7 linked regions of the Cricetulus griseus genome follow. The protein of the gene in region 5 purifies or fractionates together with the protein of the main gene of each other region. This does not show direct contact. Links are inferred from orthologs where the notes say so. Each region holds a gene or a part of one and is shown on either strand. Other genes may lie near its edges. The genes, in order: Eef1a1, Rictor, Arl2, Snw1, Tubb, Hdac6 and Lrrk2.

Evidence for each region.
Region 1: the proteins of Tubb (region 5) and Eef1a1 fractionate together in Homo sapiens (co-fractionation; 3 studies listed by BioGRID). This does not show direct contact. The link is inferred for Cricetulus griseus from reciprocal best matches to the Homo sapiens genes TUBB and EEF1A1.
Region 2: the proteins of Tubb (region 5) and Rictor purify together in Homo sapiens (affinity purification with mass spectrometry; 3 studies listed by BioGRID and IntAct, with this or other methods). This does not show direct contact. The link is inferred for Cricetulus griseus from reciprocal best matches to the Homo sapiens genes TUBB and RICTOR.
Region 3: the proteins of Tubb (region 5) and Arl2 purify together in Homo sapiens (co-immunoprecipitation; 3 studies listed by BioGRID and IntAct, counting the BioPlex papers as one, with this or other methods). This does not show direct contact. The link is inferred for Cricetulus griseus from reciprocal best matches to the Homo sapiens genes TUBB and ARL2.
Region 4: the proteins of Tubb (region 5) and Snw1 purify together in Homo sapiens (affinity purification with mass spectrometry; 3 studies listed by BioGRID and IntAct, with this or other methods). This does not show direct contact. The link is inferred for Cricetulus griseus from reciprocal best matches to the Homo sapiens genes TUBB and SNW1.
Region 6: the proteins of Tubb (region 5) and Hdac6 purify together in Homo sapiens (affinity purification with mass spectrometry; 4 studies listed by BioGRID, with this or other methods). This does not show direct contact. The link is inferred for Cricetulus griseus from reciprocal best matches to the Homo sapiens genes TUBB and HDAC6.
Region 7: the proteins of Tubb (region 5) and Lrrk2 purify together in Homo sapiens (co-immunoprecipitation; 5 studies listed by BioGRID and IntAct, with this or other methods). This does not show direct contact. The link is inferred for Cricetulus griseus from reciprocal best matches to the Homo sapiens genes TUBB and LRRK2.

Annotation. Positions count from the first base shown.
Region 1 is NC_048597.1:189,545,530-189,549,755, forward strand, and holds the start of Eef1a1 (elongation factor 1-alpha 1), read right to left. Parts: upstream 2,851-4,226; 5' UTR 2,818-2,850; intron 1,874-2,817; 5' UTR 1,840-1,873; coding exon 1,696-1,839; intron 1,585-1,695; coding exon 1,405-1,584; intron 1,326-1,404; coding exon 1,029-1,325; intron 946-1,028; coding exon 795-945; intron 711-794; coding exon 454-710; intron 367-453; coding exon 132-366; intron 44-131; coding exon 1-43. UniProt on the Homo sapiens protein: Translation elongation factor that catalyzes the GTP-dependent binding of aminoacyl-tRNA (aa-tRNA) to the A-site of ribosomes during the elongation phase of protein synthesis.
Region 2 is NC_048595.1:340,504,627-340,508,317, reverse strand, and holds part of Rictor (rapamycin-insensitive companion of mTOR), read right to left. Parts: intron 3,621-3,691; coding exon 3,421-3,620; intron 3,050-3,420; coding exon 2,923-3,049; intron 2,795-2,922; exon of another isoform or gene 2,642-2,794; intron 2,440-2,641; coding exon 2,275-2,439; intron 2,116-2,274; coding exon 2,039-2,115; intron 1,114-2,038; coding exon 1,035-1,113; intron 1-1,034. UniProt on the Homo sapiens protein: Component of the mechanistic target of rapamycin complex 2 (mTORC2), which transduces signals from growth factors to pathways involved in proliferation, cytoskeletal organization, lipogenesis and anabolic output.
Region 3 is NC_048596.1:53,202,300-53,206,325, reverse strand, and holds the end of Arl2 (ADP-ribosylation factor-like protein 2), read right to left. Parts: intron 3,992-4,026; coding exon 3,829-3,991; intron 2,494-3,828; coding exon 2,386-2,493; intron 1,022-2,385; coding exon 887-1,021; 3' UTR 580-886; downstream 1-579. UniProt on the Homo sapiens protein: Small GTP-binding protein which cycles between an inactive GDP-bound and an active GTP-bound form, and the rate of cycling is regulated by guanine nucleotide exchange factors (GEF) and GTPase-activating proteins (GAP).
Region 4 is NC_048598.1:116,346,203-116,349,893, forward strand, and holds part of Snw1 (SNW domain-containing protein 1), read left to right. Parts: intron 1-163; coding exon 164-280; intron 281-1,199; coding exon 1,200-1,341; intron 1,342-3,529; coding exon 3,530-3,626; intron 3,627-3,691. UniProt on the Homo sapiens protein: Involved in pre-mRNA splicing as component of the spliceosome. As a component of the minor spliceosome, involved in the splicing of U12-type introns in pre-mRNAs.
Region 5 is NW_023276806.1:229,740,631-229,744,926, forward strand, and holds the start of Tubb (tubulin beta-5 chain), read right to left. Parts: upstream 2,968-4,296; 5' UTR 2,782-2,967; coding exon 2,725-2,781; intron 1,402-2,724; coding exon 1,293-1,401; intron 926-1,292; coding exon 815-925; intron 703-814; coding exon 1-702. UniProt on the Homo sapiens protein: Tubulin is the major constituent of microtubules, a cylinder consisting of laterally associated linear protofilaments composed of alpha- and beta-tubulin heterodimers.
Region 6 is NC_048604.1:114,403,178-114,406,868, forward strand, and holds part of Hdac6 (histone deacetylase 6), read right to left. Parts: intron 2,645-3,691; coding exon 2,518-2,644; intron 2,425-2,517; coding exon 2,359-2,424; intron 2,265-2,358; coding exon 2,205-2,264; intron 1,973-2,204; coding exon 1,883-1,972; intron 751-1,882; coding exon 644-750; intron 559-643; coding exon 491-558; intron 124-490; coding exon 1-123.
Region 7 is NC_048595.1:388,196,259-388,199,949, reverse strand, and holds part of Lrrk2 (leucine-rich repeat serine/threonine-protein kinase 2), read right to left. Parts: intron 3,480-3,691; coding exon 3,370-3,479; intron 40-3,369; coding exon 1-39. UniProt on the Homo sapiens protein: Serine/threonine-protein kinase which phosphorylates a broad range of proteins involved in multiple processes such as neuronal plasticity, innate immunity, autophagy, and vesicle trafficking.

The sequences.
Region 1 (4,226 bases), on a different chromosome or scaffold from region 5:
CCCACAGCAACTGTCTGCCTCATGTCACGAACAGCAAAACGACCTACACAGAAACAGTTATGAGCACTTGTTCATACAGCATTTCATATCCAAACAATACTCAGTGCAACAGAAACTTAAGTTCTACTTACCCAGTGGAGGATAGTCAGAGAAGCTCTCAACACACATGGGCTTGCCAGGAACCATATCAACGATGGCTGCATCACCAGATTTCAAGAATTTAGGGCCATCTTCCAGCTTCTTACCAGAACGGCGATCAATCTTCTCCTTAAGCTCAGCAAACTTGCATGCTATGTGAGCTGTGTGACAATCCAGTACAGGAGCATAGCCAGCACTAATTTGGCCTGGATGGTTCAGGATAATCACCTGAAAGAAACAGCATTTGGTTAAATCTTGCCTTCAGGTTTTGCATGCTGCTATCAATATTACACTCTTGACACCTATCTTGTTTACCTGAGCAGTGAAGCCGGCTGCTTCCATTGGTGGGTCATTTTTGCTGTCACCAGCAACGTTGCCACGTCTGACATCTTTGACAGACACGTTCTTTACATTGAAGCCCACATTGTCTCCAGGAAGAGCTTCACTCAAAGCTTCATGGTGCATTTCAACAGACTTTACTTCTGTTGTAACGTTGACTGGAGCAAAGGTAACCACCATTCCAGGTTTTAAAACACCAGTCTCTACTCGGCCCACAGGAACAGTCCCAATACCTAAAAACATTTACAGTATATAAGGTGAAGACAACTGAACACACCTCAAAACATCTTAGTCCAGTGTCCGAATGCTCTACTTACCACCAATTTTATAGACATCCTGGAGGGGCAGTCGCAGTGGCTTGTCAGTGGGACGAGTTGGTGGCAGGATACAATCCAAAGCTTCCAGCAGTGTGGTACCACTGGCACTGCCATCTTTACGGGTGACTTTCCATCCCTTGAACCAAGGCATCTGAAATGCAGAGTAGCCAAATGTTTTATAATCTCTCCCCCCTTACAGCTTTTCCATTTAACCACCTTCTTCAAGTCACTTACATTAGCACTAGGCTCCAGCATGTTGTCACCATTCCAACCAGAAATTGGCACAAATGCTACTGTGTCAGGGTTGTAGCCAATTTTCTTAATGTAGGTGCTGACTTCCTTCACAATTTCCTCGTATCTCTTCTGGCTGTAAGGTGGCTCGGTGGAATCCATTTTGTTAACACCAACAATTAGCTGTTTCACACCCAGGGTGTAAGCCAGAAGGGCATGCTCACGGGTCTGCCCATTCTTGGAGATACCAGCCTCAAATTCACCAACACCAGCAGCAACAATCAGGACAGCACAGTCAGCCTAAGAAAAAGTTACCTCCCGTTAATAACAAAGCTTTCCAGCTGGAGGTAAGGGTCAGAAGGTAGTAAATTTCACAAACCTGAGAAGTGCCAGTAATCATGTTTTTAATAAAGTCTCTGTGTCCTGGGGCATCAATGATGGTCACATAGTATTTGCTGGTCTCAAATTTCCACAGGGAGATGTCAATAGTGATACCACGCTCACGCTCAGCTTTCAGTTTGTCCAAGACCCAGGCATACTTGAAGGAGCCTTTTCCCATCTGTTCAGTGATTCGCAGTTAGTACACTCAAAACATCTAGTTTCTAAATAAACAATTTCCTGCTTACGGTAGATTTCCACCCCCCCCGACCTTTTCCCTTCGAATACTTGCCTCGGCAGCCTCCTTCTCAAACTTTTCGATGGTTCGTTTGTCGATTCCACCACATTTGTAGATCAGGTGGCCGGTTGTGGTGGACTTGCCTGAATCTACGTGTCCAATGACAACGATGTTGATATGAGTCTTTTCCTTTCCCATGTTGGATTTGAATTAGCGGTGGTTTTCACAACACCTTAAAAAAAAAGTTCGAAGAATACCTTTGAACGGCTAAGCAGCTTTGTCAATCAGCTTCGCTCCAAACTCAAAATGGGCAAATTCCAAGAATTACTTCCATGGCCAGGCTGGCCTGGCTACAGTCTCCACCCACCAAATGTGAGCAAACTCCAACGCCATTAGACAGATCCCCTCCCCCAGCGGAGGCCAGCGGTGCTCCGAAAGAGCGCCCGGGGTGACTGAAGTGCGGCCGGTACACCACGGGGTCACAGGAAGCAGCGGCCGGCGAGGGGCAAGGCCCTCTTCCTTTGTGTGGGTGACTCACCCGCCCCGCTCCGCCGGGCTGCCGCGTCCTCCATTTTGAGCTCCTTGCTACAGGGCCCGGGAGCGGCCATCTTTCCGCGCACGCAACTGGTGCCGGGCGGGCGGGCCTCGCCCTCCTCGGAGCTAAGCCACTACGGGGTACTGGCCAGACCGGGCCGGGACCCGGGGCCACCTGAACCCGGCATCTAAAACCCACCGCCCGGCCGCCTTATCAGGACACAGGCCGCTACCCGTCCAGGCGGCGTCGGACATGTGCTGCGGGACGGGCGGGCCCGGTCCCCCCCCCGACTGCTGCCGCTCTCCCTGCCCGACATGCGGACTACGGGGCTCCCTACCAGCCAGCTCCACGCCCTCCCTTTGTTGGCCCGGGCCGCGGGCAGGCAATCGAGGGCAGCCGGGCAGACAGCAAAGCGCGGCCGCGGTGGCACGCGGCGGGGCGGAAGCCACGCTAGGCCTCACGCCCGACACGAGGCGAGGCTCCGGGGCCGCCGCCAGGCCTCCCCCCCTCGCCCTCCCGCACAGCCCGCCATCCAGGGCGGGAACGCTCGCAGAGAAGCCCGGCCGACGACACCCGCACGGCGGCCCGACCCCGCTCAAAGGAGGGAGCCCGGGCCCGCGGAGGCCACACCCGCCACTCACCTGCGTTCTGACGGCAAACCCGTTGCGAAAAAGAACGTCCAACGCGACTACCGCACTTTTATACCGTTCTCCCCCACCCTCGGGAAGAGGGCGGAGCCAGCACACGACACCACTTTCCCAGTTTGCCCCGCGCTGGCTCCCGGGCCCCCGCTCAGCGCGCCCCTCCCCCACCGCCGGGGACTGTGGGCTTGTGCTCTCCCGCCGACCCGCGATCCGCCCTAGGCGCAGGCTCCTCCCGCCGCGCTGGGCGGGCACAGCGGTTCCGGGCTGGGAGGCCGGCCAGAATTTAGCGACGGTCCCTGGGATTCCCAGGGGCGAAGGCGATCCCTCCTTTTGTATGAATTACTCTCGGCTCCAGTCGGGGGTGGGGCGGTGAGGAGCTGGCCAAGAGGGCGTCCAGAATCTGTCCCTACCCTTCCTGACTCCACTGCCAAGGCTGTGTCGAGATCCGGGTGTCCCTTCCCGTGGAGGCCACCTCCCGACGTCAGCCCCGCCATCCCCCTGCTTGTCCCCCGCGGGAGAGGTGCACAATCCTAGGGACCCTTCCCAGCCCCAGAACCTAAGGGCTCAGCTCGGTGGCCGAGAGCTCGACGGATCTGCCCCTGTGCTGGCCTCTTGGTTCATTCCATCCAGCGCCAGCTGCTTCTCTGGAAGCCTGAAGCGCGCTTCACGCCCTGGGAGTTCCGTTCAGAATAATACTTAAGTCCCACAGTTAGCTTTACTTCTGATTCTGGGCTTCTTAAGCTAAAAAAGGATTTTGTGTGTGCGCGCATTGTGTGTGTGTGTGTGTGTGTGTGTATTTGGGTACAGTTATTTGATAGAGCACGAGGAACATGAAAAGAATCTAATCAACTCCACGTGGTCTCATTTAGAGGCCAGCATTAGCAATCTTACTCGCCCAGAGCCCATCCCTGACACTTGTGAAATCAGAGCTTCTCAAAAATGGCTCGTCCTATTATTTAAATGCTTGTCATTCCTACAGTTCCAAGGATCATAACTGCGTTTTGCTGTGGTTCTGATTGTGTGGCTGTTTTGTTTTTGAGACAGTCTCTTTAGCCCTGGGTGCCCTGAAACTCACTAGGTAGACCAGGCTGACCTCAAACTCACAGAGATCCGCCCTGCCTCTGCCTCCTGCGTGCTGGGATTAAAGGCGTGCGCCACCATGCCGGCCCTAGCCTGTTTTCTTTTCTTTTTTTTCTTTTTTTTTTTTTTTTTTTTTGGCCCTGGCCAGTTTTAAATGCCTCTCCGGGCAGGATCTCAGAAGAAAGAAAAACTTCTTTGTTGTTTTGTTTCTTAATGCTAGGGACGGTGAAAAGGTATTTTGTAATGGAATATGGGGTTGTGGAGATGGAACCGAGGGTCTCAGCACACCAGGCAAGCACTCTTATCACTAAGCTACATTTTTAGCC
Region 2 (3,691 bases), on a different chromosome or scaffold from region 5:
GATGGTTTCCCTGTGCCACTTACAACTATGCCAGTAGAGGTTTGCTCTCAGATTCATGAAAGGTAGTACCCTAAAATAAAGTATAAGCAGATGATTATATTGCTTACACAGAACTGTTTTCAGCCTTCCTCATTCGGAAAATTTTATTTTAGCATAGAAGGGCTAAAGCAAAGCCAGTCTGTATAAGGGAACCAAGAACAAAACAATTGGTGGTTATTTGGGTCTAAGAAATCACAGTAGAAAAACAGACAATCAAGGTTAAATTCCATAGAGTGCAATCAAAATAAATAGAGACAACAAAATGGCTCATGTAAAGGTCCTTGCTGCCAAGCCTGATGATCTGAGTTTAATTCCTAAGATCTACAGGATGGAAGGAGAGGACCAATTCCCATAAGTTGTCCTCTGATGTCCATGTGCCTGCCATGACATGCATGACCACACATAAAAATCAATCAGCCAATCAATCTAGCATTGAAAAAAACAAACACACTACAATTAGGAAGTAGGTAAGTATACATGTATGAGTATAAAATTGATAGAATTTAGCATTACACATTTGTGGTAGTTTGAATACATATGGCCCCCATAGACTCATGCTTGGCCCAGAGGGAGTGGAACTATTAGGAGGTGTGGCCTTGTTGGAGTAGGTGTGGCCTTGTCAGAGGAAGTGTGTCACTGTGTGGGTAGGCTCTGAGGTCTCATATGTTCAAGCTATGCCCAGTCTGGGACAGAGTTGCTTCTGCTGCCTGCAGACTCTCAGCTCCTTCACCAGGACCATTTCTGACTGTACACTGACATGTCCCACCATGATGATAACAGAGTACACCTTTGATACTGTCAGCCAGCCCCAATTAATTTTCCTTATAAGAGTTGTTGTGGTCAAGGTGTCTCTTCATAGCAATAAAGACCCTAAGACAATATGAAGTATTTGTTTTTGTCTGGTTTTAGATAAGGTTTCATGTAGTTCACAGTGGTTTGAATTTCCAAAGAAAAAATAAATACCAATTAAATCTTATTATTGAATGAGAAGTTACCTTGTGCCATTTTTCCAATTGTTTTGCTACATAACCCCTTTCATTCAGGTAGGAAAATCCTTTTGGAATGGAGAGAAATCTGTAAATTAGAAAAATCATAGCTGAACACTGAGTCTAAAAAAAAAGAAAAGATCTAAAGTAACAAAGAATATGCTTAGGAAACAAACAGAGCTTGGAATATTTCCCTGCCTAAAATAAAAAGGTTAACTGTAATTTACTCAAATTTCAAACACTAGGACTTCTGTTTCTCCCTACATCTGACGGTTGTACAAATAAAACGACCGGTGCATTTTTGGGATGGCTTTTAGATAGACATGCTGAAGGAATACCCTGACCACCACTCCTGATGCTCCTCCCCTTTCAGTTGGAAGAAGCCACATCAGCCATCATCCAAACCCATCACTGGCTCTCAGGCCCATAGCACTGCAACCATGCAGCTTGTGCATCTATGCAATTCAGAAATCTCATGTTTCCCTTTTTTCTTTTTCTTTCCTAAGTATGCTTTCCTTAAAACTTGTGTGTTTCCTCAGCATTCTGGGTTTCCTCACTCCTTCTCTGACATTTCCCTCCCTACCATGTTGCTGCTTGTTTGCCACGAATCTGATCTCCATGTCAGATTAAGGTATGGCCTTTTATCCTTCTCTCCTCCACTGTCTTCCTCTGGGCAGCTGTTGAGGTTTTATAGTTTGTCTGCCCTGGGATTTTTGTCTTTTAAATTCTAACAACATTGTCCTTGACCTTCCATTTTTCAATTGCAGACAAACTTTTCAATTGCAGACAATTGCAGACTGAGCCCAACAAAAATATAGAAAACTTCATGAAAAAACATGAGAGGAATATTAACCATAAGCACACAAACAAAAACTAGCTCAATTCTAAAATAGGCATGGTTCAGAATTTTAAAATAAATTCACAGTATTTCCTAGTCAGATTTGGATCTACTAATACACATAGCCAAGAAGGCACAATAAAGAATATCACAAGGAAATGTACTTAATACTTACCTCAGGAGGAGAAGCAAGCCTTTGTCTCCAAGGTGGGATAAGGCTGGTTTCATCTGAATAAGAGCATGAAGATTGGCCTAAAGGGATGATCAAGTTAATAATTATGTAATGACACCATATTCTCTGTTTCAAAATGCTTATTCATGCTGTACTTTTTTAACATTGCCAAATAAAAAGTATTTGAATAAAATTCAGCCTAAATGTTTCATTATATCAACAAAACAGCTCAAATTTACCTTGTCTTCACAAGCTTCATCAAGGATATCCAGAGCTTCAGAAGAAATTGTTTTGTTTTTATCATGTAGCTGAGTCACTAGTAACTCAATTCCCCAATTGTTGAAGAATTCAACATTAGCTCTCAATAAAACCCTTAAATGCTTTGTTGCATACAGTCTGCAGGCCTAGAGAGATAAAGGAGCACATTAAAAGTCATCATAGATATTTAGTATTGTCCTGAAAAAGCCCTTTTACTTACAAAGGCAGAAGGACTGGAGTTGAGGATATAGTTAGTATGTGATACAAATATTCCCTTTCTAGCTAGCAGCTCCATCCTTATGACTTAAAAGGGTTCAATAAGTTCTTCTGAGACAGTAAAAAATGTACTAAGAGAATATGTGAGTGTAATCCTCAACTATCATAAATTATGTATCAAACTTCCTGTATTCTGAGAAATCACAGGGGTTGGCATATGTGGAGTAGGATGGACCCTGGAAAACCATTTTTGTGGTCACAGAACATCCCTTGTCAGGTAAGTACAGCAACTAAAATGAAGGTTGACTCAACTTCCACCCCATATTCTTAGTTTACTTAGACTAAAAATTGTAGTGACTTAGCCTTAAATTACTGGTTAGAAACTACAGCTTTATCTCCCATGTTATACTCACATCAGTAGCTGCCGTGAGGATTTTTGAAAGAATGACTCTAGCTAATCCATCTCTGCTATAGTCGAGGCTAGAAACAGTGAGTTTCAGCAGGTGATCTTGGTTTTTCAAAGAGCAAAGATTAAGAAGACTAAAAAAGAAGAGTTATTATAAATCATTGTGTTGATTCATTAATTCAATACATTTTTCTCCAGTTCAATTGAAATATGACTGCCAAACAGAAAATTAAGCACATTCAAAGCAGACAACCTGATTAGATACACAGCTACCCATTAGGTGATACATTCAATAATGAATCCATTAGCACAGATGATTACTATTTTAGAAAATGGGCAGGGGAAAACAATTCAACGTATATTTTAAAAATCCTATATAAATAAATATTTCTGAGAAAAAGTATTTACCAAACACATGTACACAGATTACAAAGCATATTGTGTATCTGGACTCATTAAAACTAAAGTTTAGGTTTACATTTCAACAAAATGTGAGAATGCTCACCATTGAAAGACACTACATTTTTCCAGCATTTTCACACCATGAGGATGACAAGAAAGTGTTCCAATAAATAAGAAGTAGTGTTGACTAAGGGTGGTCAGTAAACCATTATTCTGAAGGCTTCTTTCAGGTTTCATCCCAGATGAAGCATTGAGCCACTGAACAATATCTTTCACGAGATCTTCCAAGTATCCCTGCCCATCCTGCAATTAGAAAGTCATCTCTAATAGTCATAAAAATCTTAGTGAAGGCTGGGGGGGGGTGGGGTGCATGC
Region 3 (4,026 bases), on a different chromosome or scaffold from region 5:
AGTGTGTTGAACAGAGCAGGGCTGACCCTGTACTGGATTGTGGGTAGCTCTTGGTAGAGCCATTTGTGACTGAAGACAGTTTGGCTAGGCGGTTGAGGCCCTGCTAGTTGTAGTCATCCCTGAATGATATAGCTACCCATCTTCCCACTTTCTGAACAACTCAACCTGTTAGGAATATCTGTCTGATCCGTCCTTCTTTAGCTATGCAAGTTGCCCACTGCACAAGTTTTGCTGGTTGCACTGTCAAGCTAGGAACTGAATTTAAACTACCTGTGAGCCCCAGGCTGGGGTGGGGAACGAGTCTGTTTTTTTGTAATTTATACTGATGAAGGCAGGTGTTTCTCTAGGGATCTGCCGACACCTTCTTCTCAAACCTTTCTCTTCCTCCCTGATTCCTGTTTTAATGTAACCTCCAGAAAGTCTATTGGTCTCTTGAAGACGGAACCAGCTATTCCTGTCTTGAGCTTCCATGCTCTGCACATTCCTCTAATAAAACCACAGGTATACCTCTGCTCTGATCTCTCCCTTCTGGATTCAAGCATTCCAGGTGAGGGCCAGAGTCAGTGATACACAAATGGCTCAACCAGGAACCAGGAAAGGAGTGCTTTATTCTCTCTGCTGGACAGAGGTGACATCCAGGACCTTGGTAGCAGCGGGTAGTCCCTCCCAGTCCAGCCTTTCCTTTTGGCATGGCAGCTGCAGGTCACTTCAGGAGCCGGGGTGACAGCCCTCGCATAGGGATGGGGAGCAGCAGTGGGCAGCAGTAGCAGCAGCAGGTCACGGCGGGGTTGGGAGTGTTAGTCTGGTCGGCTGGTGTCTGTCCCCCCCAGCTGGAGTCTGATGAGGGGTAGGGACCTGGACAGTGTGCAGGGGACACTGAAGAAGCTCAGTCAGCAGTAAAGACACGACTGGAAATGTCATCAAGGAGCCAGTCGATGCCAGGCAGCAGGTCCTCTCCGGTGACAGCACTGCAGCCCTGGATGCGCCAGTGATGGCTGCGGATGGAGGCCAGGTCCAGGGCCTGGGGACAAAAGGACTTGTGGAACCAGCAGGTCTTAGCCTGTCCTTTCCCAGTCACCCAATGGGAGACTCTAGCTGCACACCAGTGCCACCGTCAGTGACATAAAGTCAACATGGGCTGCTGAGTGTCTGCTAGGAGCCAGGCATTTTGCAGGGACCACAGATGTCATCTGTCTCTTGCTAAGGCCTCCTGATCCATGGATAGATAGATACCATGGTCCACTTTACCAAGGAAGGAATACAAACTCAGGCTCTGCAACCTTCCACATCGCACAGCTAGTTAAGGTATGGTGGTGCACACCTATAGTGCAGGACATGGGAGGTGGAGGCAGGAGGGGCTACATGAAACCTGTCTCAAACAAAAACCAAGATTCTAAGCCTGCTAGATGCAGCCATGGCTCCAGGGCTAGGTCAGCATGAAGCACAGTCCTGGCTTGTTTACTTACTATGTGACATTGGGGAGGTTACTTATTCTGTGTCTCCTGCACCTTTTGTATGGTGACAGTCATTTCTCCCCCATGAGATTGTTGTATAAACGAAGAATAATGTGAATCCACACAGACAGCATTGCGATGGGAAGCGCTCATTGCAGGCTGGCTGCTAGAACCCTGTGAAGTGATCTATTTACAGGTCTGCCTGCTTCTAGACTGGGGGCCAGTCTACCTTATTAATCATCAAATTCTGGGTGCCCTGCCTACATCTTGCCCCACAGCAGGAGCTAATACATGCTTTTAAACCAATTATTAGCCAGACATGGAGGTACACCCTTAAAGCTTCAGGCAGGAGGACTGCTTGAGTTTGAGACCAGCCTGGGCTACATAGTGTGTTCTAGGTCAGCCTAGGATACAGAAACCCTGTCTCAAAAGTAAGTAAAAAAAAGACTGGGCTTAAAAAAAAATAAAAAAATAAAAAAAAGACTGGGCTTGGGGATGTGGCTCAATTAGTAAAGTGCTTGCCTAGCATGCACAAGGCTCTGGGAACAAACAGCAGCACCACAGAAACTGACAGTGTGGTTCACAACTTAATCCCAAGTGCTCTCCAGGTGGAGGCAGGAAGATGAACGGTTCAGAGGCTCCTTAGCATCCTAGTAAGTCTAAGACCTGCCAGGGCTGCTGAAACTCAGTTTCAAAAAACCAAAAATAATAAAGCACACCGGGTGGTGGCGGCACACGCCTTTAATCCCAGAACTCGGGAGGCAGAGGCAGGCGGATCTCTGTGAGTCTGAAGCCAGCCTTGTCTACAGAGTGAGTTCCAGGACAGCCTCCAAAGCTACAGAGAAACCTTGTCTCGGAAAACCAAAATGATAATAAAGTACTAATAACCCTTCAGTTTTACTCCATACGCTTGCACCAGAGCTTGACTCACCTCCTGAATAGCGTTAGAGGACAGTGCTCCAGGCAGGTCCTGCTTGTTTGCGAAGATGAGGAGGGTTGCTCCAGCCAGGCGCTGGGGAAAGACAAGATGGGGCTGGGGCTGGGGAGGCTTAGAGTATAGCCCGATCCCTTCTCTGCAAGCCATGGGGTCATTGGTCAGCATGCAGGGTCAGGAGCAGGGCCCCATGGTTGTCGGGGAGCCCCAGGTGGGATAGCAAAGCAGACAGAGGTGCAGAAACTAGCTACCACCCAGTGGGCATCTCTGCCCTCCATGCCTCAGTTTCCTCTCCCATAATCAGGGAGAGGGTGTTGCTCACAATGATCCCTGAGCCCTCTATAGCTCTGACCATGTGCAGAAAGCATAAGCATGCTGCGGGCTGCCCTGGGGACTTTAGGGTAAATCCACCTGCCCTTCCTCCCAGTTCACAGAACCCTTAAATTGTACTCCCAGTGGACTGCCCTGTTGGCCTTTTTCTCTACTTATTGCCATTGGTGTGTTTGCAACTGGAACCTCTCTATGTGCAAAGAGAAATCTAACTTCTGGGCCTAGCCCTGCTGGGCCTTGGCTTAGCCTCCAACAAAAGTAACCTCTCTAGACCTGTTCAATACTCCAGAGGGGGCCGCACTCATGCTGGTGGCATGTGTCTGTTAGCCTTACAGTCTCATTCATTTCGGTGCACTGGCCTTCACCTAACCGTGGCAGCATTATGAAAGTCCTGAGACAGACAGCACACATTAATGGAGAAATGGCAGTATCCAAACCAAATAAAACTTGTAGCTTAAGATAATGGCAATTGTTGAGCATGGTTTAGTAGTGTCCAACTGTAATCCTTGCACTCAGGAAGCTAAGGCAGAAGATGGAGAGTTTGGAGCTAGCCTGGGCTACATAGGGGAACATGATCTCATCACCACCACCGCCCCCCAAAAATCAACTCTGCCAAAATAAATAGCTAATAATGGAGTATGGCGGCACAGCACAGATCAATAATCCCAATTATTTGGGAAGTAGAAGCTAGTAGATCAGGAGATCAAGTCCAGCTTCTGATGGTTGAACAAGCCCTGTGTCAACAAAACAAAAAACATGTTTTGGTCCAGACAACAAATGTCAACATTAGCCTAATTATAACTTTAGGGATGTGGAAGTTGAGGCTCAGGTAGGCTATGTATTTTCCTAAAGCCACACAGCACAGTTAAGATTCCTATACAAGCTTCATTCGCTCCCTGAGCTTCACCCCCTGCCCTGGTCTTGAGGCAGCTCCTGCAGTGATGGGACTGAAACTCAGGGTGGTGAATCAGTAAAACCAAAGAGATGTGAGTCTAGGTCTCAACCCAGGGCCCAGAAGGAAGGGACCTCCTCCCTCCCCAAGTGTCCTGGTGAATCATGGCCCATGTGAGAGGTCTCTGGCTTGGTTGCAGGTGGAAACCCAGGGCACACCTCCTCCACCAGCAGGCTCTGCAGCTCACGCTGACAGTCCTGCATGCGCTGGCGGTCGGCGCTGTCCACAACCCAGATGAGGCCATCTGTGCTCTCAAAGTAGTTCCGCCAGTAGGAGCGTAGAGACTTCTGGCCACCCACATCCCAGATGTTCAGTTTGAATCTGGGAAGGAAGGGACAATGAAGGTCAGGCTGGTC
Region 4 (3,691 bases), on a different chromosome or scaffold from region 5:
GGGCCCTCTACCCAAAGCACCTATTGTTAGTTGTTTTCCATAAGTGTGTAAGAAGTGTGAGAAATGGAAATTTGAGTGGTTCTCAAATTGGGTATGCACTAGGCTAATGTTAGGTGATGACTGTAGCTCTACTGAGCTGACTTACTTTCTGCTTTCACTTCAGGGTTACACAATTCCTCTGGATAAACGGCTGGCTGCTGATGGAAGAGGACTTCAGACTGTACACATAAACGAAAATTTTGCCAAACTGGCTGAAGCGCTATACATTGCTGATCGGAAGGTTGGTCGTTTACAGTTTGCCAAACGTTCTTGTATCTGTGAGTCCGTATTTTTCCCCCTAGTCCTAGAGAGACACTAACTTGTGTGTGTGCTGATGACAGCAAGAACTAGCTACAACTCAGTAGAGAGCTGCACCCAGCAGTGGTGATGGCTTCCTAGGCTGACCTCATTTTGTGGAGACTGCCAGATACTGTTGTACATCGTTTTCAATGTAGATGATAGGTAAACATTGTGATTAAATGCTGCACTAATGGTATCAGCTACTGATATTACAAAGAAGTGCTATATTAATGTGCACACGTACATACAAGTAAGGGGGCTCTTATTTTGTATGTGTTTTTTACTAAAGTCTTTCAGATAGAGGTGTAGGTTTTGCCATAAGGTGAAGGTATACTTAAATTTTTGGTGGGTTTTGGTTTTTTAAAACAGGATCTGACTAAAGTCTTCAGACGTAGACTAAGGTTTCATCTTAAGATGAAGTCATACCTAAATTTTTGGTAGGTTTTGGTATTTTGAGACAGGATCTTGAGTTTCAAGCTCAGGCTATGTTGGAACTCATTGCAATCCTTCTGCCTCAGCCTCCTTGAGTTCTAGGTTTCAGGTATGCATTACCATGTCCAGATACATTTATTTATTGATTTACTTACATTTTGAGACTGCTTCTCACTGTGGTTCTGTCTGTTTTGTTTTTGGGACAGGGTACATAGCCCTGGCTGTCTTAGAACTCATTGTATAGACCAGACTGTTTATGGCCTGTGTCACCATGCCCAGCAGATTCTAGTCTGATTTTATACCTGTGGGCTCAGATGATCATCTCTGCTGGGATTACTGGTGCTCAAACTTCAGGAAGGCAATTTGAATATAGCTGTAAATATTTATACTATGATATGTTCCACTCAACATTTCACTTCATTAAACAGGCTCGTGAAGCTGTGGAAATGAGAGCCCAAGTGGAGAGGAAGATGGCTCAAAAAGAAAAGGAGAAACATGAAGAGAAACTTAGAGAAATGGCGCAGAAAGCCAGAGAGAGGAGAGCTGGAATCAAAACCCATGTGGAAAAAGGTGCGACAGTCTCATTTTGAAATTTACTTGGTATCTCATTTTAGAATGTCTCCATGTTTTATAGCATACAAAAGTAGAGTGTATAAGAAAAATTTAGATATTTCAGAAAAACGTAGAAATGGGATGTGACTTCTTCCTTATTAAGCTGAACTAGAAAAAAATGAAGAAATACATATTTGAAATGGATCTTCCATATGGAAGTATACTAGAAATTCTTGGTTTTGATCAATCTACAGTTGGTTCTCTATATCTCTAGGATGCTCAGCCACAGACTGAACTAGTTATACATTGAAAGTATTTAGGTTGGGCAGTTGGTGTCTGCATCCAAATTATGCAGGCCTCTTCCTGCCATTATTCCCTACAAAATATGGACTGTCCATTGTGTGTGTGTAGCATTTTTATGTAAGGGACTTGAAAATTCACCCATCAAAGTACACATGGGGTATTGGTGGAGGAACCAGTCTCTACAGGATATTATAGGACAATTACACTTTTTTCTTTTAAAAAAATCTTTTAGCCAGGCAGTAGTGGCACATTCCGGTTCTTAGGAGGCAGAGACAGGCGTATCTCTGTGAGTTTGAGGCCAGCCTGGTCTACAGAACTAGTTCCAGGACAGCTAGGGCTGTTACACAGAGAACTCCTATCTCAGGAAAAAAAAAAAAAAAAAAAATCAAAAAGAAAACAAAAAGAAATTTTTGGCATAGCCTGGCTGTCCTGGAACTTCATAGAGATCCAATTCAAAAGCAACAGGTCAACCCCACAATAGTCCTGGACTCATCTTGCCCGACAGGTCAGTATTGTAGTATGTAGGGTCCAGCACTTGAAGAAGGATGTCATTGTTTCTTACCACTGAGTAGTACTCCATTGTGTAGATGTACCACATTTTCTTTATCCATTCTTCAGTTGAGGGGCATCTAGGTTGTTTCCAAGATCTGGCTACTACGAATAATGTTGCTATGAACATAGTTGAGCAAATGTTCAACATCCTTAGTCATCAGGGAAATGCAAATCAAAACAACTCTGAGATTCCATCTTACACCAATCAGAATGGCTAACATCAAAAACACCAATGACAGCTTATGCTGGAGAGAATATGGAGAAAGGGGAACATTCCTCCATTGCTGGTGGAGAGCACACACTTGTACAGCTGCTGTGGAAATCAGTATGGCAATTTCTCAGAAAATTAGGGGTCAACATAGGTCAAGACCCTGCAATACCACTTTTGGGCATATTCCCAAAGGAGGCACATTCACATCACCTTATTTTTTTAAACTGTCTCTTTGCTTAGAGCTCATGCATTTTGCTCGGCTGGCTGGTGGCTTCAACAAGAACCTGTACATGGTTCTTTTTTTCCTTCCACTGGTGCGGTGTGCATGTGTATCTGTTGATGGGTATATCTATATGCACATGTTCAGCTGGAGCAAGAGGTTGACATTGACATTGCTCAGTCACTCTCTACTTTTATTTTTGAGCCAAAATCTCACCAGTTGGCTGAGTAGGTCTGTTTTAGAATCACATGCACCCCACCATGTCCAGCTCTTTACCTGGCTGCTAGAGATCCAAACTCCGTGATTGGACAGCAGGTACATTACCAAGTCAGCCCTTTATGTTTTATCGTGACAGCTTTCAAACATAAGGAAGAACTGAAAACTACTCATGATGAACTCCTGCCTCACTTCACCTAGATGCAGTGGTTAATTTTGAAAACAATTCGCATGCCAGGTGGTGGTGGCACACATCTTTAATCCCAGCACTCAGGAGACAGAGGCAGTCGGATCTTGAGTTCCAGGACAGCCAGAGCTATTATACAAAGGAACCCTGTCTCAAAAGAACAATTAGCATTACTGAATTTTCTTCTTCACCTGTATGCCCACCTTTCCACCTCTTGGGTGCATTTCAAATAAGTTGAAGGCAGCTGACATAGGAGTACACAAACTGATTGGATTTAAATTGACTGCAAGTAACCCTTTAAAGGCTGAGTGTGACCACAGAGAAGTGGTCGTGCACACCCATAATCCCAGCAGCAGGGAGGTGGGAGCAGGAAGATCCAGAGTTTGAGGCTAGCCTTGGCCATATGATGCCCTGTCTCAAAAATAGAAAAGTATGGCATTTTTTAAGGTTAAAGGCCTCCTAAGCAAAATATGACTAGCTAATGCAGTGATGATCTAATTTTCAACTGTGTTCACAGAGGATGGAGAAGCACGTGAAAGGGATGAAATCCGTCATGACAGGCGGAAAGAGAGGCAGCACGACCGGAACCTTTCCAGGGCAGCTCCTGATAAGAGGTAGGTCGATGCTTGGCATAATTGCGCGTTAGGAAAAAGGACATTTCTGTCCCTGAGAGTTCTTG
Region 5 (4,296 bases):
CCACCTCCTTCATGGACATCCGCCCACGGAAGACGGCAGCCACGGTGAGGTATCGGCCGTGGCGGGGGTCACAGGCTGCCATCATATTCTTGGCATCGAAGACCTGCTGGGTGAGTTCAGGCACAGTGAGGGCCCGATACTGCTGGCTCCCACGGCTGGTGAGAGGGGCAAAGCCAGGCATGAAGAAGTGGAGACGTGGGAAGGGGACCATGTTGACCGCCAACTTGCGGAGGTCGGCATTGAGCTGGCCTGGGAAGCGGAGGCAGGTGGTGACCCCGCTCATGGTGGCCGAGACGAGGTGGTTGAGGTCCCCATAGGTCGGCGTGGTGAGCTTGAGAGTGCGGAAGCAGATGTCGTACAGGGCCTCGTTGTCGATGCAGTAGGTCTCGTCGGTGTTCTCCACCAGCTGATGGACAGACAGGGTGGCATTGTAGGGCTCCACCACGGTGTCAGACACTTTGGGTGAGGGTACCACACTGAAGGTATTCATGATTCGGTCGGGATATTCTTCTCGGATCTTGCTGATGAGCAGGGTGCCCATACCAGAACCGGTACCTCCACCCAGCGAGTGGGTCAGCTGGAAGCCCTGCAGGCAGTCACAGCTCTCTGCCTCCTTCCGCACCACGTCCAGGACAGAGTCAACCAGCTCAGCTCCCTCCGTGTAGTGACCCTTAGCCCAGTTGTTGCCTGCCCCAGACTGACCTGGAATGTGGTGAGAAGGGAAAAAAATTACGTCATTATCATTACTAATCTTCACCTTTCACCTCTGGAATCATGCCCTTGGGTACAAAGGAATTCATTCCATGTAACTCACCGAAAACAAAGTTGTCTGGTCTGAAGATCTGGCCAAAAGGACCTGATCGAACGGAGTCCATGGTCCCGGGTTCTAGATCCACCAATATGGCCCGAGGGACATACTTGCCACCTACAGGGATTCAAGTAGAACTGTCAGAGCCCTCTGCAGCGAGGATGAAATCTGGGGTGGGAAATACCACAAACCACTAAACTGCCATTCCAGGCACTGCCACCCGGCGGCAGCAGAGCTAATCTTTGGCCCACTTATGGTGGGTGTCTAATGGAAAAGGGTGAGACCCCAGCAACCGGGTTAACAGGCACTTAACGTGGGAAAACAGGGCGTGGTGCGGCCGCCTTTAAAAGCAGCATTAGGGAGGTAAGTTCCAGGGCAGCCATGGCTGCATAACGAGACCCTGTCTCAACAGAAGGGCGCAGGGTTTAAAAAGACCAGGGATAAGTGTTAACAGAGAAAAAAGAAGCTGGATTCCCTCCCTCACCTGTGGCTTCATTGTAGTACACAGAGATTCGGTCCAGCTGCAGGTCGCTGTCTCCATGGTAGGTGCCGGTGGGGTCGATGCCGTGTTCATCGCTGATCACCTCCCAGAACTAGACAGAGCAATGAGCAATGAGCCAGGCCTCAATGGCTGAAGTCCTAAGGGATGCCTCCCCGCCCGCATTTCAACTCTAGACGTGCTCAAACGAGGCGGACGGGTTGATACTGCAATTCCGTTATCTGCCTGCCGAGCCTCCACGACCGAACCTCCAACCGGGGAAGGTCGCCACCTTTGTGGCCCTGGTCAAGTGATGGACAGTTCAAGGGGCTGAGGGTTGCAAGCACCCATATGGGCTGACTGAACTGCCATCCGCCCCCTCGGCTCAGCACCCAGCCAAGCGCTTCAGGGTGGGCACCGCCCCTCCAGGCCAGCACAAAAGAGGGATGGGGTAGGAAGGTGCGGCCACTGCAGTCGCCCACCCCTTACGCGTTCCACGTGACTGCGGTGGCGGGCCGCTCTTCCAGCAGCCCACAAAGGCGGGAGCAGCGTGGGCGGGGCCTGGCACGAGGGGCGGGGCCAGCGCGCCCCCGCCAGCAAGGGCTGCATTGTCCCTGCGCGCCAGGGGCGCTAGCCCCGCCCCCAAAGGGTCCCACCCTTCGGCTACAATCTAGCGGCCGCACTTCCTCCTCTCCACCCATCCCCCGCTACATTGTAATTGCGCGCAAAAAAAAAAGAGAAAACCATGGCCTCAGATTTTTTTTTTTTTGCTTTTGCTACCTTCTCTTCCCTAAATAGCTTTCCCCCAAACACACACATAGTCCCGAGGGACCTCTTATAGACACACAAACCTCTCACTTTCCCATCAGGTCACACCCTAAGATTTCTTAACGGCAATGAAGTAAAAGGAGCCCCCCGCACGGAATCATCACCATCCACCTAAAAGCGAGCCAGGGGATGGCGAGATCGCGAGGGTCTCCAAGCCTTTGTCGAGCGGTGATGCGGCCCGGAGACCTCTGCAGCTGCCCGCCCAACCTCTCCCCTGCCCCCGCCAGTCCTGCTCCGCTAAGGCCCTCCAGGCTGGGTGGGGGTGGCGCAAGGGGAAAACCTCGCTTCGGCTTTGTCTCGGATCGTTTCCGCATCTCTCCTCTCCCGTTCTCGAACCGTTAGAAATCCCCTCTTTTAGATAAGCACTCCAGTCCCTCCTCAGACTCTCCGTCCCCTAAACCCAGGCGTCTCTTTTAATGGCTTTCGGAAAATGTGCCAAGATAAATATTTCTCAGAACGCAAGCTACAAATATGGGTTATAATTGTTCGCGCAGAACTTTGAGGGGCCAAAGCCGGCGGAGGGAGAATGCTAACACCCGGTAACATTAATCATGATTAACCTGGATTTCTCATCCTCACGCGTATCCGGTACCAATTTAAAAATTCTTACCTTAGCACCGATCTGGTTGCCACATTGGCCGGCCTGGATGTGCACGATTTCCCTCATGGCTACGGTTTACTGTAATAAATTTGTGCTGGCTTCAAGGTAGGTACCGAGCAAGAAAAGATAATTGGTTCTTTTTTTTTTTTTTTTTTTTTTTTTTGGCTGGTCTCAGGCTGAAGGGATGGAACGTGGCTCCGGAGGCTGCAGCAGAGAGATGCGAGCACGACCGCAGGAAGGTTCTAAGAGGCAGAAGAGGCCGGCGAGCGCAGGAGGGAAGGCGCGCAGGGCGGGGCGCGCGTTCGCGCAGCCGGGGGCGGGAGATAGGCGGGAGCCCCTGGTCGCAGACAAAGCCTCTCCAGCCTGCCGCTGATTAGATCCGCCGATCACGTGCCAGCCGACCATTGGTCTGTGAGCCAGTGGCGAGCGCAGTCCTTTTTGGGAGTTGTAGTTCTCTATTGTCCACGCTGCAATATGAAGTTAGGCATGGGTGGATACTGTGGGAGGTTTAGTGGGTACCTTTCGTGTGGGTGTGATTGTATTTATTTTTAATGGAAAGTGACCTCGCACGAGATTCCTATCCTCTGTTCCTGAGAGAGGTTTTTGTGCTCTAAGAAGTTTTGGGACTTAACGGTAATTGGGATGTCTGAGGTGCCCTGAATTGGAGATGGGATGGGCGCGCCCTGCAAGCTGCCCACCGCAGTGGCTCTGGTAAAGGCGGACTGCATAGCTCAGCGGAAAGTCCGGAGAAATGTGGCACCCTGCCCTGATCTTACTATCTAGTTCTTTGTGGTCCCAAGACAGTAACTTCAGTGAGCAGCACTCCCTCGCATCCCTCCAGAAGAAAGGATGGCCCTCCGGCTCCTAAGGGAGTTGTCCCAAGGATGTTTCGAGAGAGAAACAAAATTGCAAGGATTTTTCAGACTAGAAGTGTTGCTTGGGACCGATGTTCAGAGAGAGAGAGAAAGCTGTAAACCTCGGCGGCGGGGGTGGGGTGGGGTTGGGCCTTTGGGACCACGCTGAAGACACCATGGTCGTCCTATCAATACAGACGATGAAATGGGATGCTTCTCAAGACACTTGGGTGAAGGAAGCCAAGTGGTCGTTTTCAGTTGGTTGGTTCTATTCGTTACGGGAGGCTGTGGCAGAGTCCAGGAACTGAGAAATGGGAGTCAGAGCCCAGAAGCTTTTCCCAGGGTTTCATTTGATAGAAACTGAGTATCCTGAAAGTGTAAGAGGGATACAAAATGATTCTAAGAGTCAGCAGGGGTGGTTCACACGGTTAACACCTGCTTTGTAACTCCAAGGCAGGAAGATCTCAGGAAGTACAAGGTCAATTGGGCTACTTAAGAGAGTTCCTGTACAGCCCGAGGTACAGCTTTAGACCCAGTTTCAGAATAAATAAATAATAAATAAATGAGTGGAAAATTAGTTTGTGTCCAACCTCCCACACAGTAGGATGGTTGAGGCAGAAGGATTCTTGTACGCTGAAGGCTAACCTGGTCTACAAAGTGAGAGCCTGTCTTGAAAACAAACCACACACGGGGCTGGAGAGATGACTCGGCAATTAAGAGCATTTGT
Region 6 (3,691 bases), on a different chromosome or scaffold from region 5:
GCCCAGTGCGATCCTGTAGCACTGGCCATGTATCCATTGGCAGTCCAGCAGCCTCCCAGCGATCTTCCTCATATTCTTCTTCCACCCTGTCTTCCTCTACTTCATCTTCCTCCTGGGGCTCGACTATAAAGAGGGGCTCAGATTACCCTACTTGCTGAATCTGGATCCCATCATATTTCGAGACAAATGTGGCCCAGACAAAAGGCCTAAAACCCACACAGCCATCCCCACCAAGGCATCCCAGGAAAGCAAGAAGGGATCTGGTGCCGGGTGGTGGTGGCGCATGCTTTAGTCCAAGGGAGGCAGAGGCAGGTGGATCTCTGTGAGCTCGAGGCCAGCCTGGTCTACAAGAGCTAGTTCCAGGACAGCCTCCAAAGCTACACAGAGGAACCCTGTCTCAAAAAACCAAAAAAGAAGGGTTCTGGAAGGGAATATTCCTAATAGCTTATTCCATGTCTGATGCTGATTTTGCCCATCCCCCACCTCCTACCTGATTTCACAAGGATCTCCCAGAAGGGTTCAAGGGCTTCTAGCGTGCAGGAGATTGAAGTCTGGGCACTGGGGGTGAGGGAAGCAGAAATGTGATGAAACGGCCCCCAGGCAGGCAATAAGAGCTCTCCTTTCCCATTTCCCCCAGGCTTACCTTGCACAAGGTGCACCAGGGGACTCCAGCATGGGGCAAGGGTCTCCAAGAAGAGTGTGGAGTGATGCACTGACACCCTTAGCCAGGGCATGGAGGTTATAGCCACCCTGGGGAAGGAGTTGTTGGGGGAGGCAAGCAGAGGGCCATATATTAACAGGGAAGGATACTGATAACAGTAACAATATTTGGGTGCATACTATATGTCAAACAACAAGAAATCTAGATGGTGACATCATTTAATTTACTGGACAATGATGTAAAGTGATTAGCAGAGGCACCAAGGAATTATGGAGAAGTAAGGCCAAGCAAGGAACAACTTTACAAAAAAAAGCACATTAAAATTTTTTTGAGAATTGGCCAGGCGTTGGTGGCACCTGCCTTTAATCCCAGTACTCAGGAGGCAGAGGCAAGAAGATCTCTGTGAGTTCGAGGCCAGCCTGGTCTCCAGAGCGAGTGCCAGGATAGGCTCCAAAGCTACACAGAGAAACCCTGTCTTGAAAAACAAACAAAAAAAAATTGAGAATCAATTAACTTTATGATTATGAATGTTTTGCCTGCATGTGTATATGTGTACCACACATGTGCCTACTTGCAAGACACCATGCTGGGAATCGAACCCAGGTCCTCTGTAAAAGCAGCAAGTGCTCTCAACCACTAGGCATCTCTTTGGCCCCCAGGAACTTCTTATATACATGAAAGCTCTTGTTTTGTTTTCAGTGGTCCTAAGAATGGAAGCCCTTACATATATTATATATTAGCTAAGCATTCTACCTTTTTTTTTTTTTTTTGGTTTTTCGAGACAGGGTTTCTCTGTGTAGCTTTGGAGGCTGTCCTGGAACTAGCTCTTGTAGACCAGGCTGGCCTTGAACCCACAGAGATCCGCCTGCCTCTGCCTCCTGAGCGTTGGGACTAAAGGCATGCGCCACCACCGCCTGTGGCATTCTACCTTTTAACTCCATCCCCAAGGCCCAAAAGATCTGTTCTTGAGCCTCCAAGTGGGCCAGTGAGTTGGATCAGAGGATAAGAGGGCTTGCCACCAAGCCTGATAACCGAAGTTCAATCCCCCAAAAGAATCTACATGGTGGAAGGAGAGAACCAACTCCCACAGTTGTCTTCTGACCACATACATCATGGTACATGTGCATAGCGTATGTGCATGTACATACAAACAATGAATAAACAAATATAAAAATTCTAAGCCCTTTAGGATCTAGAGTTTGATAAAAGTGAGTTACTCACCTCCAGAGACAAAATCACCTTGCCTCCTGCCAGACCCATGAGGAAATGGGTTAGGTGGGCAAAGCCTGCTGGAGTGGCGGCCATCTCTCCCTGCAGGAACACAAAGCTCAGTGTACTCCCCCCTTTTTTTGGTTTTTCAAGACAGGGTTTCTCTGTGTAGCTTTGGAGCCTATCCTGGCACTCGCTCTGGAGACCAGGCTGGCCTCGAACTCAGAGATCCGCCTGCCTCTGCCTCCCGAGTGCTGGGATTAAAGGCGTGCACCACCAACACCCGGCCAGTGTACTCCCCTTTGCCTACCTAAAACCCGAGAACCTGCCTTACCTTGGGGTCTCCTTGGAGGGCATCAAATCCAGCAGCCACCAGGACCAGTTGAGGCTGAAACTGAGGAAGGGAACAGACTATGTGAGAACACCCTCCTTCACAGGTCATCCCTCAGTGTTGCCCCTCACCCCTAAATTTCCTGGATCTCCAAGACCTCAAAGGCAACTGGCAGCAGGATGTGCAGAAAAGCAGCAATGTAGTCAGCATCCCGCATCCCCACCTGCAGACACAGAAACACGATGGACAGTCAGGCACCTTTCTTGAGTCGGTGGGAGGGCAGGGCTAGGCTCACTTCAGGTGGGAAGACACTGACCTGGTTCCAAGGTACATTGATAGTATATCCCTGGCCTTGGCCAAAACCTGTAGTGGACCAGTTAGAAGCCTTAAGGTGGGGCCAGAACCGACCCTGCTCATAGCGGTGGATGGAGAAATAGAGGACACTAGAGGCAGAGAAAAGAAATGTTGAGAGGTTGCATAGCATGTGGAAACTCAATCTCCAGCATAGAAAAAAATAAGGAAATTGAAGAGTCAAACTTAAGGCCTCCAACCTACAGCTACAGGGTTTAATTCAACAAGGTGATTTTACCAACTACTCAATTCATTCTCTAAGTTTTTCCAATTTTCAATCTGTACTTTTTTGTTTTGTTTTGTTTTTGGAGACAGGGTTTCTCTGTGGAACTTTGGAGGTTGTCCTGGCACTCGCTCTTGTAGACCAGACTGGTCTCGAACTCAGAGATCCACCTGCCTCTGCCTCCCAAGTGCTGGGATTAAAGGCATGTGCCACCAACGCCCGGCTTCAATCTATACTCTCAAGTCTTGCATTAGTTTACCCTTCCATTCATTTACCAACTTATTCATTTCCCCATTCATTAACCCCCCGTGGTTCACCCATTTTTCCTACACATTGACTGATCTCCCACCAGAATTTCTGTCAGTAAATATTGCTGCCTCTTCAGTGTCCACCCAATTTCAGACTCAAGTCTAAGGTCTCAAGAGCTACTGAGTCAACCCAAGAACCTGGGCAATGATGACCCTGTGAGAAACTCTAGGTCATGTCTTCTAATCACTCCTGCCACTGTTATTATCCCAAGGTAATAACAACACTGAATACTGGAGGTTCATGGGAGTCTTGGGGGAACTTATCTGCAGAAGCCAGCTAGGGCTGCAAAGAGCCTCCAGTCCATGCTGGGGAACTTAGTGATTCCACTGAAAGAGGTGGAGAGATGCAGAAGGCCAGGAATGAGGGAAGATGGGGCGTGGTTTTGTGTGTAAAGCTAAAGTAAAAGATGCTATCTAAGGCTGCCATAAAGTCAGTAAGGACATTCTTTTTTCCTTAATATATCACAAAGCCACCTCTACCACTTGTATTTCATAGGTGAGAAAGTGCCCGTAGGGCTGAGAGGGACCAACACACAAACTGACGCTGAAAAGACGCAATGTGCAAGCTCTGACAAAAAAGATAAAATCTGCACCTTTGGACTGAGAGG
Region 7 (3,691 bases), on a different chromosome or scaffold from region 5:
ACATTGGCATGGTGAACAGTTAACATTTTGAGGATCAGTCTAGAATAAAAAGCAAAATCATATGACAATGAAAGGTTATCCAGCAGAAGCCAAGGAGCCTTCCCAGTGGACAAAGCACTGACTGCACATGTGGGCAAAGCACGTACAGTATTTAAGTACTGTTTCTCACTCACCTATATACTTACTGTACTTTGTTCTGTTCATCAAAGTTCATGGGATACATTCTCCCTTGGTACAAACTAAAAGCAAGCTAATAAAATTAACATCCTGACTTGTGGTGTAGCTCTTGGCAGAGCACTTGCCCAGCATGCCCAAGACCCCAGTTTCAATCTCTACCAATACAAAAAATATAAATAAGAAAATGAAATAACCAGGAATACTGTTTGCATCAATTGTGGCAAAAACTTCACATGATTCTGTGCATCAAATTAACAAGTTAATTGCATTGACTACATACATTTTTCTAGCTATCAACCATGTCTCAGGAAAGTTGGAGGGAAACATTTAGTAGAAACCTAAATGTTTATGCTTGCATGTAGCTCAGTGACAGAGTGCCTGCCTGCCAGATACAAGGCCTGGGGATTGCCCCACAACAATGGAAAAATTAAGACACTTAGGAGGGAAGTATTATTCTATGTCTTGATAGAAGCCAAGTCCCACCTATATTCCTCCAAATGCCCCTACTTAGTCATTAATACACAAAGGACCATGAAGATGATCCATAGCCAGAGGAGATGTCTTAGATACATCATAAGAATTTATGAATTATATGTCATGCATGTTGACATAGTAACATACAGGAAGATTGAATAAAGACGTTCATTTGTACACAACCTTCAGGATCTACTTAAATATTAAAATTATTGTTAGCTACTATCTTTGATAAAGTTATATTCCACACTAGATAATGAACTCATATCAATAGTACCTGTTCTCAGATTCACTAGATTTTAATCTCTGTTACCCATTCCATATGTAGCCTTTAATCATTTTCTGCCAGGTGGTATTTTGTTTTATGTTGTTGGAAGAAGACAGAGCTGGTGCTATCCACAGCCTCTTCTATATTCACAAAACATGTCCTTTGGTCTCCTAGCAAGGTGAAGGTCTGTTGATATCTTGCCAATTATCTCTCTACCCATTCTGTCCCTGCTTCTCCCTCTTGCATTCTGTCAGAACACAGGCCAAGAATGGAGTCATGAAAGGCAAATTCTGATTGCTTGTGAGAAAACTTCAAGCAAACAGGGCAAGAGTTGTAACCTTGGTGTCTTCAAAACCACAGAATTCATCTTGGAGTGTGTTTTTGTGTCCCTCTCAGGTATAGCAAGCAGAAAAGAGTGAATTTACTTTGTTTATTTGCCTCCATGAAAAAAAAAACATATTTTTGCCATGTGTGGCTGGTCCTTGTGATTGTATACTATACTGATGTGACTCTTCTTGACTATTAGAGTATAAATTGAATGATGCTCTGAATAAAGTTGATTGTTGCATGAGACTTTGCCTCATTTTTAGGCTCTACTCTTCCAGGTTCACAGCATCAGCTAGAGCTGAAAATGTGTGCTCACCATCCTTCAAATGACTGCTACAGAATTCTCTTTGGTATTGGTCAATTTTGGAGGGGAAAAGCTTGGCTACAGAGAAAAACGTCTTACAAAATTTTTCCCAAAATATTCTAGTGTAGAGAGCAGTGTTTCTCCCTTGGTCACAAACTCAGATCTCTCTTAAAGCAGGAGTGTAGACAACCCATGGAGGTAGAGGGCTGGACTTGAGTGGTAAGCAAGAGAATTTGTGAGTGAAGACATGAATATTTCCCATCAAAATAGTATCACAATTCCCCCCAAATGGTTGGTTTGTTCTGGAATACAAGGAGGTGAGATTTCCAACAGTCTCTGAGTGATATTGAAGATTAACTGTACTTGAAGAAAATTGGAAATCCTCAAACAAAAGGGACATTAAAATCAGAATGACTAATTACAAGTATACCATGGGTAGGTCTTTATTAAATGTTACAGAACTGACACATGGAATTTCAAAATTAGTTTGAAATTGGCTGTTTTTCTAAACCATTCTCTTCAGATGGTAGAAACTAAAAACTAACAACACCTATATAGTACAAGTGGATAAACATGTAAACACCAAGGCCTATAATAACTCCTTTAGGAATAGACACACTGTTCTACCCCATATAAATTTTCTGAAAGGATTATAAAATTCAGTTTTTAGTAAAATATATTTTTCTCAAGTAACATAACATTGGGAGTATAATATCTTCATCATGGTGGCTCTAGGTCTGAGGGCACCTAATGACAAGACACTTTCATAAGTCTCCAGAAACTACATTATTTTTTAAAAGGATTTTCCTCTGAACATTTCCTATAAATTTTCTCCAAAAAGTTTTACCTAATTATGGTTATGAATGTGGTCTTATGAAAGACATTATGTTGAGAACTCCAACCAAATGGATGATAAATAGTCACCTAGATTAGGCTTCAGAGGGTTGAGAGGGAATTCATTTCCTCTTTTCTCTTCCTCTTGCAAGCCACAGTCTACTTTCACTGAGATTAGCATGCCCAGACACATGCAAATGTGCACATGAAGACAGTAGAGCATAATAAATGCTCACAGAGGTAGCTTCTTTTTTTTTAATTTAACTTCTTATTGACTCCTTGGGAGTTTCACATAATGCACCCCAATTCTGCTTGCCTCCCAGTCCCCCGATGTCCTTTCTTCATCCCTGCCATGCAGCCCACCCCCACACACACAAAAGAAAAATAACACAAAGTAAGCAAGAAAGCAAATGAAAGCAAAAACAACAATAACAAAAAAACAAAAACAAAAACAAAACAACAACAGAAAAATCTCTTTGCTTCTCCTTTCCTGCCTCTCAAACAGCTTTTCATTTGCCATGGTGACACTGGAGGCTCTGGTGTATTATGTAGTACACCCCCCTTGTCCCATCAGCTTAATGGCAAATATTCATTGCAGAGTCACTGGTCTTGTTCAAGGCCTCTGGTCAGAAGTAACTTCTTAGTTGCCATGTTTTTCAAGGAATTCATGGATTCTCTCATTTCCACCATTAATAGTAAAAAGCTTGTCTTGCTTTGTCTTACGTCATACTCAAAGATATACAATTTAATCATTTACATAATCACAGAACTGTGTTTGTAAGTCATCTCACCTAATATTGTACCATCCATCAACTTTAGTTTTCTAATTCATAAATCTGAGTTTAAAGGTCTCTATAAATATAAATTATCGATGTAAGAAAACTATATCTGCTTTGAAGGAATTTATCAGAATGGTTTTGGATGGCAAAGGGTGTCATATATAATTCTTCAATGCAGTTTATTTCCACACATCTGTCATACTTACTGATGAATTCTGAGGAACTCCCAATCATTTCCAATATCCTGGGGTCCTATTAAGCTCGGCAATGTCCCTGGGCAGACTTCTATTAATTTGCACAGAAGTGACCAACCCACCTGAAAGCAAGAAAGGTAAATACTTACTTTTTTTTTTTTTTTAGATAGTGTTCTGTATACCCCAAGCTAGTATTGAACTCATTTTGTAGCCATGAATGGCCTTGACTCTCCTCCAGTCCTCTTTTCCATGCAACATGCTAGAATTACAGCCATGTACCACCACACCCAGTTTACCCGATGCTGAGGATGACAGAACCCAGGGCTTCCTGTGT